Macaca mulatta: one gene and its partner. The protein of the gene in region 1 interacts with the protein of each later gene in a biochemical or structural test. Links are inferred from orthologs where the notes say so. Each region holds a gene or a part of one and is shown on either strand. Other genes may lie near its edges. The genes, in order: TRDN and CASQ2.

Evidence for each region.
Region 2: the proteins of TRDN (region 1) and CASQ2 form a complex in vitro, tested with the Homo sapiens proteins (3 studies listed by BioGRID). The link is inferred for Macaca mulatta from reciprocal best matches to the Homo sapiens genes TRDN and CASQ2.

Annotation. Positions count from the first base shown.
Region 1 is NC_133409.1:28,630,482-28,634,943, reverse strand, and holds the start of TRDN (triadin), read left to right. Parts: upstream 1-1,467; 5' UTR 1,468-1,993; coding exon 1,994-2,015; intron 2,016-4,462. UniProt on the Homo sapiens protein: Contributes to the regulation of lumenal Ca2+ release via the sarcoplasmic reticulum calcium release channels RYR1 and RYR2, a key step in triggering skeletal and heart muscle contraction.
Region 2 is NC_133406.1:124,503,442-124,508,013, reverse strand, and holds the start of CASQ2 (calsequestrin-2), read right to left. Parts: upstream 3,053-4,572; 5' UTR 2,730-3,052; coding exon 2,496-2,729; intron 1-2,495. UniProt on the Homo sapiens protein: Calsequestrin is a high-capacity, moderate affinity, calcium-binding protein and thus acts as an internal calcium store in muscle. Calcium ions are bound by clusters of acidic residues at the protein surface, especially at the interface between subunits.

The DNA of each region.
Region 1 (4,462 bases):
TTTATTAAGTAAAATGAGTTTGAAAAGTTGAGTTTTTTCCTGTTCCAGAGCCTAATTTTATTTAGGATCTGACCCATGAAAAGTCTTAATGAGTTACATAAGATGTCATTCCTTCAGTGAACTACAATGAAAGATTATGAAAGTAACTGATGAATGGAGACATGAAGTGCTATGTTTTTTTAAACACTTGGAAGTACTGCAGCAGTATTTACTGGAGATTCCTTGGGGGGCAGTGTGAGGAGGGCTTTTCTCCTAGGATACCTCCTTAGACCAACCCAGAACTCTGGGAAGCTGCTCTTGAGGATTTTGTATCTTTTCATCCCACTAGTGGGCCTAATTTGCAGTGACCCCCTTTACCTGTAAGTCATAGTATCTGCAACAAGGCCTCACTTCTTGGGAAAGATAGCAAACTTGTAGTTAAAAGGCTCTAGGCCCAGTCCTAGATGTAGGAATTTGAATAAAATCATGAATGCAATCACGTAATCATTTCCTCCTTGTAAATTAAGATTTGTTACTAATTTATGTATTCAGCTGATATATGAGCAACTTTCTATTGTGCCAGGAATGGGGGCAGCAGATAAAGACAGAACCACTAACAGGGAGGAGGTAATTGCCTACAGAAATAGCTGTTGCAGTACTCTTCTGAGCCTGAATTTTAAAAATAACAAACATGGCTTTGCTTCATGATCTATGAAGTACCATATGAATTCAGGAGGTCTGAAAACAAAAGGTAGCAAGTTCAAGCTAAAAGATTAAACTACAAACATGTAGTAGGTTGAATATGAGAATAAAATAAAAGTGTAGCCCACCCTTGATTATTTACGGATTGGCTAGAGTTTATGATTATCAGTGCCCTTCGATTATCCTTTTCCTTCCAGCTACCAACTATTGAATATTTTTTTGCTCATTAACACCTGTCTAGGAGTGGGAAGGTGAAATGCTAATCAGACAATTTGGTTAATTGTTAGTGGCTGCTATAATCCTTTTTTTTTTTTAAGTTGAGATAAGGAAATATTTTACTAAAATATTGGCTGTGGACCACTAAACTTTATGTCACCTTCGCTTCCTTTTATTGCAAGGATAAATGCAGATATTTAGTTTTTAGTTAGGTATTAAAGAGAATTAAAAACATAGTAATTCATGAATCCATTGGTTTTCAAGTATCACACTATAAATTCACATTACGTAATTCTTATTGGTCAGTGTTCAGAAAATATTACTCTTCTACAGTATGACTACTTTAAAATAAATCTTTAGGATTTAATAGTTGCAATTTTAAGTGTAGCCCTATAAAAATAACTGCACTTGCTAAGTGGATTTGTATCAACAGGAACACAACTTTTAGAAAATTACTTAAGACTGCCCTCCCGTTTGCCTGTGGTAGACATTTGGGACCCTCCCCAAGCCAAATAAGGGAAAGAAGAATGTTCTGACCATTAAAAGCACTAAGAATAAATCTGAGCTCTCATGGATAAGATTACTTTCAACTCTTTACTTCATGTTTTCTGACATAGACCCCAAGATCTGTAATTGTCTTAGAGAAACTGTGTGGGCTTAGATGGTACTTTGTAGTTCATTTGGCTTCTTCTTCTTCTTTTTTTTTTTTTTTTTTTTTTTGCCTGTCTCTCTTTGGGGCTGGAGAGCTGGTGTGTCTCTGTGTGTGTTCCTCTAGAGTGCCAAAAAAAAAAAAAAAAAAAAAAAAACATGCTGAAGAGTCCTAGGGAGATGAGGCTATTTTTGTTTGAAGCTGATACTTCTAGCTGAGCCACAAGTGCTGCTTGGAAAGGGCTTAGGTTGATTCCAGGGGGAGAACTCTGCAGAGGAGAGGCAAAGTTCAACAGGACAACAAAGAAGCAGCAGAAACAGCCAGGAAAAAGAAGAGCCCCCAGGTTTTGACACAGAACCCTCTACCAGAGTTCTCAAATCCCCAAATAGTCTGCAAAGTGCTACTTGACGGGAACTTTTCAACTGACATTTACTTTTGACGACCACCATGACTGAGATCACTGCTGAAGGTATTGCTACCATTTTCCAATAGTATCAAGTAAGGAAAAAAAATATGCAAATTGACAGCCACATGGACTGTTGATGTGTCCATTTAAAACGTTGCTTTAAGGTAATTGTCGTGGTCAATGATTCTATACAGGATCTGAGAAGTGGATTTAGGAGCTGAGAGGCTGCCAGATCTGTATATTGGGGGAGCAAAAAGAGATTTCTCTTAAATTTTGCATGTGGAAACTATTCTCTGCTATACCAAAGGCCCCACTAGATAACAGTTGTTACTCACACCTCTATAAATAGCTATGGTCATGTAACATGATGGATGATATCTTATCCAGCAAAAATTACAAAGTTTTCAAGGATGGAGACCATGATGAACTTGAAATATTACAGTAATGCTTACTTAAACTTAAAAAGTAATTTGAAGCATTTTTACTTTATGATATTTTTAAATGGAGACCTTAAGTTTGTTTTTCCTTTCCTACTAGGGTATGTAAAACACACACACATATATATGATTTATATACAATTTAAGACATAAGTGGTCTCACAAAATTTGTGTTTATTTGACCGTTAATGGAAATTCAGAGATAAAGATTGGAATTCCACAAACTTACTGTGCATCAATATGATTTTTAAAATAAAGTAATTAAGTTTAGAATTCTGGTTCTTTTCATAAATTCATTCTTCATTTTCCTCTAAATGGTAAATTCTATCTTTATGTTACAATAAATATTTTCTGCTTCAATGCTTTACTGAAAGCTACATACTATAATTATAATACATATCTTCTATTTGATGGTTGCTAGTTATATATATTTATATTCCATATATGCTTCATATATATATATATATGTACATATTTCTTAGAATGAAGAAGCCCTTCAAAACTAAATTACTCTGAATACAGTCACAGTCTGGTTCTAGTTGAGGTAAAATTTTGGAGGTGGATCTAAAATTTGCTTCTGACAGCTGTAAGAAACTCAGACAGGTGGTGCTCTTAACAACTTCCAAGTTAAATGCTGTGCTGGTTTGCTTTGAATAATACAACTGAACTATAGAATATGTGTTTTTATTTTGAGGGTAGAAATCAGTATCGACACACAGTAATTTCTGTTGGAGATTTTCAGTCAATATTTGTAAGAATTGCCTTATTTGTACCTTACATTGAGAAATTCAGTCTGACACCCCAAATTAATAACAATTACTGAGAGAATTCTGCGTGTTAGGTATTTTGCTCAGAATGTTATGGGTGTTTACTTATTTAAAACTGACACAATTCAATTAAGGAGGCATTATTATCTCAGTTTGGCAGAAAAAGGAACTGTAGCTAACATGTTCTGTGACTCGCTCAAGACTATAGCATTACTAACATTTAAAGCCAGCCCCTTTAAATCTCATTTGTGTGTGTGTGTGTGTTTTCTTTTCTGTGAGAGGATATCAGGTTTACTCTTTACCAATTTTAGTTCAGAATTTGCTAACTAAATATAAATAGCATTTTTCCTATTCCTTAAATATTCTGTGTCATGTTGCTTTTAGTTTGCCTTAAAGAAAGCTATCTATAAAAACTTATTGCTTAGCTCTGCACAAGTTATTAAGATAGCTATGAGTGTCTTAATCTTCTGTTTCTCTACCTCTGCTCAGTGTTTGGGCTCCCAGGTGATTCAGGAGGTCGGTTGACTAAACCATCTTGGGCTTGTTTGTGGCTTATGTTCTGTAGAACTTGCAGTTGATTCAAAAGACTTTTTACAGGAAAATTCGTGATTATGAAATAGAACTTTTGTTTCTGCCTCCACTCTGCAGGGGTTTAAAAGGGCCTTAGAAGACCTTCTGGAATCACCCATAAAAGTAATTGAATTAGTAATAAAATTAAAAAGTAGAAATACCATCTAATTCCTGGGTGATGGTCATTTTCCACTTCCGGGTCTTAACAGTTCATAGGATCTATATTATCTAAACATCAATTATGTACTTTTTTTCATTTTCTGGAGTGATTTATTAATAATATTTCTCAAATGAAAATTAGACTGTCAACTCAAATGAAGTTATCTTTTAAGGTAGCACAGTCATTCTTTGAGGATATCCAAAGTTTTTTGCACACTGTTTTACTACACAGTTTCATGTTACCTTGGCAATTCTCACTTTCTGTGCCCTAGCTACAATTGCCTTCCTCCAGTCCTTTATAAAAGGTATACCTTTGTACAATGCCTTGGTACAGGCTATTTTCTGAGCCTGGAATAGTCTTATTTTGTCTCATCTGCTATATTTCTTTCTCAACCACTTATTTATTTATTTATTTATTTATTTATATATTTATTTTAGAGCAGAGTTTCTCTGTCACCCATATTAGAATGCAGTGGCATGATCATAGCTCACTGCAGTCTCAAACTCCTGGGCTCCAGCAATCTTTCTACCTCAGCATCAGAAGTAGTTAGGAATACAGGTGTGCACCACCATGCCT
Region 2 (4,572 bases), on another chromosome or scaffold:
TGGGAACTACCTCCTCTTTTCCCCCTACCCCCTAACAGCCACAGCCCTGGAAGCTGGCAGACTATTTTTCTTAGTGCAAGTGTGGGGTCTAGAGGATTAAGAGGACAAAATAGTTATTTTGACGATGACAAAAGTTTAAAGACGTGTTCACTCTTTCCACTCATGGACTTCTTGGAGCCATTTTTTCCCTTGATGCTGCACCTGACAAGTATCTCAACAAAGGCCTGCCCCTTCCTCACCTTCACTAATGGAGCCCAGGCCTCCGCCTCGGTTTGGACTTTTGCATAAGCAGTGCCTCCAGGCCATGTACTTCTCGGCCATGCTGGTGGTACAGCTGGCATCATCAGACCCGGGCCCAGAGGCTGAGCAACTCTGTTTAAGGAAGACTCTTGAAACCGTCTTAAACAGTCTACCCAGAAGCCCTTTGGGCATTTTCGCACTGATTTCAGGAGAGGCGCAGTATAGGTATCACGTACTGCCTTCATCTGCAGTAGCTGTGTAACCTTGGACAACTTAGCCTCTCTGCTTCAGTTTCCCCATCTATCAAATGGAATTGGTAACTGTACCTACTTAATAGAATAAGGATTAAGCAAGCTAACACATACCAAGTGCTTAGGACAGTCCCTGTACTTAGTAAGCATTTAATTAACATTATTATTATTTAATCATTTCTTAAGCCTGCATGATAGTTATTATTTTTCTATATTTATAGATAAGAAAATGAGGCTCTGAGAAATTACGTAATTTGCCCTGCGTCCTATGCCTAGTAGAGACAAAGCCAGAACTTAAATCCGGATATCCTGATTTCAAGTTCTGTGTTCTTTTTCTCCTAATGATGCCTCACTCCAGCTTTAGCAGCCTAGGGGCATCAAATTAACTCCTGTCGTGAACTTTTCCTTATCGGTCTCTGCTGGGCTGGCACCCAACTGTGGAAAGGGCACTCTTGGATCAAAGGTGTCTGGAGGGATGGTAAGCCCAGGGGAAGTTCCTGTTCATGATTTTGCATAGTCTTTGGGGACATATATACTTGGGGGAGCTAGAGATAGATAGATAGATAGATAGATAGATAGATAGATAGATAGATAGATAGATAGACAGATAGATGATAGAAAGAGATTTCTTTTTAAAAAATTAGAATCAGAAATGAATGTCCTTGACTGTACTGGCCAACCAAAGGCAATCTTTTGGAGTTCTAGGCTAACTGGACAGCAATGAGCATATAGGGGAGAATCCTTATGCCTTCTATTAAGTTTTCATAACAATGTCTCTTGATAACTGAGTATGGCAGTTTGAAATGGAGATACAATGTAAGTGTTGGTTTCATGGGCTAAGCAGCAGCTAAGTTCTATGTCCTGTTCTTTTCCAGCCTTTGATTTGCTCATTTCTATAGAATAAAGTCTTAATAACTATCCCTGCTTTCTCTTTTCTTGCAACCCACAGAGAGAACTGAACTTCCACATTCAGCACTCAAGGTTGGAAATATATTTTTGATGTATTTGGGATAGTTTTGCTGGATTTTATGACAGTCAATGTTTCAATTGGAAAAAATTCAAATCCACATGGGTTTTATACGATAATTCTGTTAATCAAACTGTTTCATCAACCTGAGTTCTCTGATTGCACTGGTTAATAAACTGTAATTCTCAAATATCCTTTTCACAGGTTTGCGCCTGGGCTAGGCATGGGGACTGATGAGGCATCTTGGTGCCCACTAGCATTCTTGGCACCCTCAGGCACTCTTAAAGTATAAGCCATCTTAAGCTGTCCAGGAGGAGCTGCAGGAATAGTTTCTGGGGCACTCGCAAAGGATTAGAAAATGGGCCCCAGTGCCAGGTTACAAACAGGCAGGCCATGTAATGCGGATAAAATAAGAACTGACTTCAGCTCTGCCCTAAAGTCACACCAACAACTTTCTGAGGAAAAAAAAAAAAATCACATAAATGAATATGCCGCTCAGAAAATCTGCACACAACTACATTCTGTAATGCTGACTGACAGCAAATCACAAGAGAGGAGAGTCATTTAGTGATATTTTCCATCTGACCCCCAGAGAGAGGCAAGGTCAAGTAACTCTGGTCTCTCCAGGATCACAGGGAGATTTGAGGGAGCAGAGTGGGCACACTGAGTGACATCCACAAGTAGTCCCTGGATTTCATTTCAGCCAACCGTTTTAACAACAGTTTCTGCATTCTATCTGGGAAACAGTGACTGGGACAAGGGCCCTTGAAAAGTCAAGGGGGCCATAGAGACTTTACATCAGACCCATCATAGTGTAGCACGTTTGGTCCTCTTCATTTGAAGAGTTAGGACCCACCCCTCATTGTTCACACACCCCAGCTGTGCAACAAGGGCATCTGATTCACATGAGGCCAAAATAAAGCAGACCTCAGTATATATTCTCTGCATCCTCGTTCCCATATCCCAACCCCTGGCCAAAGGCATTCCCTCAGCACCTCACTGAGGCAGCGCGGACAGCACGCCCTTTGATTACTTACCTCAAGCACGATTTCTTTCAGTTGGAACTGTTTTTGCGCGACCTTATCTGAAGACACCGGCTCGTGGTAGTAGAGGCAGAGCAAGTCATATTTCTTTAAAACCTGCTTGAAGTTCTTCTCGGAAAGACTTACCACTCGGTCCTTCCCATCATATGTGGGGAAATTAAGCCCCTCTTCTGCCCTGCAAGAGGACAGAAAATAAACCCCCACAATAAACAAGTGAGTTCTCTTCATTTGGAAAAATTTTTGTTTCTTGTTCCCAAATAAGCCGTGTGCAGAAGAAAGGACAGAAGACTATTAGAGGCCTTGTTGAGCCAAGCAGGGAGCAGACAGGCTGATTTTGTCTCTCTTCTTTGCCCTTCCTGGGGCGGAGAAGTGACTCTTCACCTCCTTGGGTCCAGCCAGCTCTGGAATCGTGGGCTCAGGACAAAGAGCAGAGGCGCACACACTCACTCACACACACACACACACACGCACGCGCGAGAGTAGAAAAACAGCCAAGCTAGGGAGGCTGGGAGGCCAAGCCCCAGATACCTTACATAGCTCTGCTCAGCCTCTGTCTCATTAGGAACTCCATTTTTAGGATGCAGTTGTTTCAGGCTAAAAATAAATCATGCAATGAATAAAAAAGTTAGATACGACACTGTAGAGGGATTCGCTGATACAGTCTGTCCGAATGGCGAAGAGGGAAGAGGCAGGAGGAAAAAGACAAGAATGTGCACGCATGAAATAAGGAGGCTAGAAAGGTCAAAGAAGAGAAAGAAACTCGAGAGGGAGAGAGATAAGGGACTATGATGCCAATAAGCAAATGAGGAGTTCAAACATACAGAATGACACTCATGCATTACTGAATTGTTCAATCACTCCAGGGAGGTAACTCAGCCTGTGGTTGCTCACCCTCTGTTCCTCACTGCAACATGAAACAAAACGGAGCCCCAAGGTAGACTTCCTCATGTTCTACTCCTGTTTTTTTCTGCCTTCCATCCTCTCTTCTTAAAAATCCTCTGCCAGCCACTGGCGAGGGGTGCAGGGACACCCTGCTGAACCCAGCTGACACCAGAAGAATCTGTCCTCATTAGAATAAAATGAAACAAGGTTCACAGCTCAAATCCCTACTCAGCCTTTTAACAGCTAATGAACTTTGGAGGGTCACTTGCCCCCTCTGATGATCAGTTCCCCTCTATGTAAAGTGGGGATGATAATAACCATAAAGTTTAAAACACATAGATGAACAAGCATGGCACAAAATAGGTGCTCAAAAATGGTAGCTATTGTACTTCCTTCTCACTGGAGCTGGTGGAACATTGGTTATATAATGGATATTTGTCTGTTTCTAATATGAATGGTTTGTGAACCCTTTCTTGTCCATTTTCTCCTTGAATCCAGTAGGCAACTGGGGCAGAAGTGATCAGGGCTCATCCCACCACTGAGCTAACAGCAACTTGTCTGAGTTTGCAGCGTTTCTAACTGCCAGAGCAAGAATTCCACCCTGCCTCAAAGCTGCTGCTCCTGGTTGTCTTGCCTCTGACTCTGGGTGATTCCCTTGCAAACACCCCTTTTCTTAAGTACCTTCTTGAGCATCTCTTCCAGTCCAACCCTAGTCCAGTCATGTCTCTCCATTCTTCAAAGGCATCTAGGGCACTCATGATTCTGACCAAGTTTCTGTTCTCCTTCAGTTATAAATCAGCTTTGAAAAGACAGAGTACTCTGTCACACACAGCTTTTGCAGGCGTTAGAGGGCAAAGAGAAGATCTGTGGCCTCTATGAGTAAGGCAAGGCTCCCCTGCAGTCAGAGGGCCTTACATTGAGAGTCAGGCTGATGAGGGGTTGTCTTGATGCTACACTTTCATGTGCAGGAAGTTGGGGCCTTGAAGAACCCATCACTAAAACCCTTGACAGCCTTCCATTCTTTCTAATGGTGTAGTCTCTAAGTTTTCAAAAGATGGAGCCAAGAATATCCATGCTAAGGTGCACTTAGCTTTCCAAGTCAGTGGCAAGCATGCAAGATCTCTGCTTTCTTTAGGAAATTTAAGGGGGAAAAGATTTCTGAGTGAAACAATGTGTGTCTTGTCTTTTT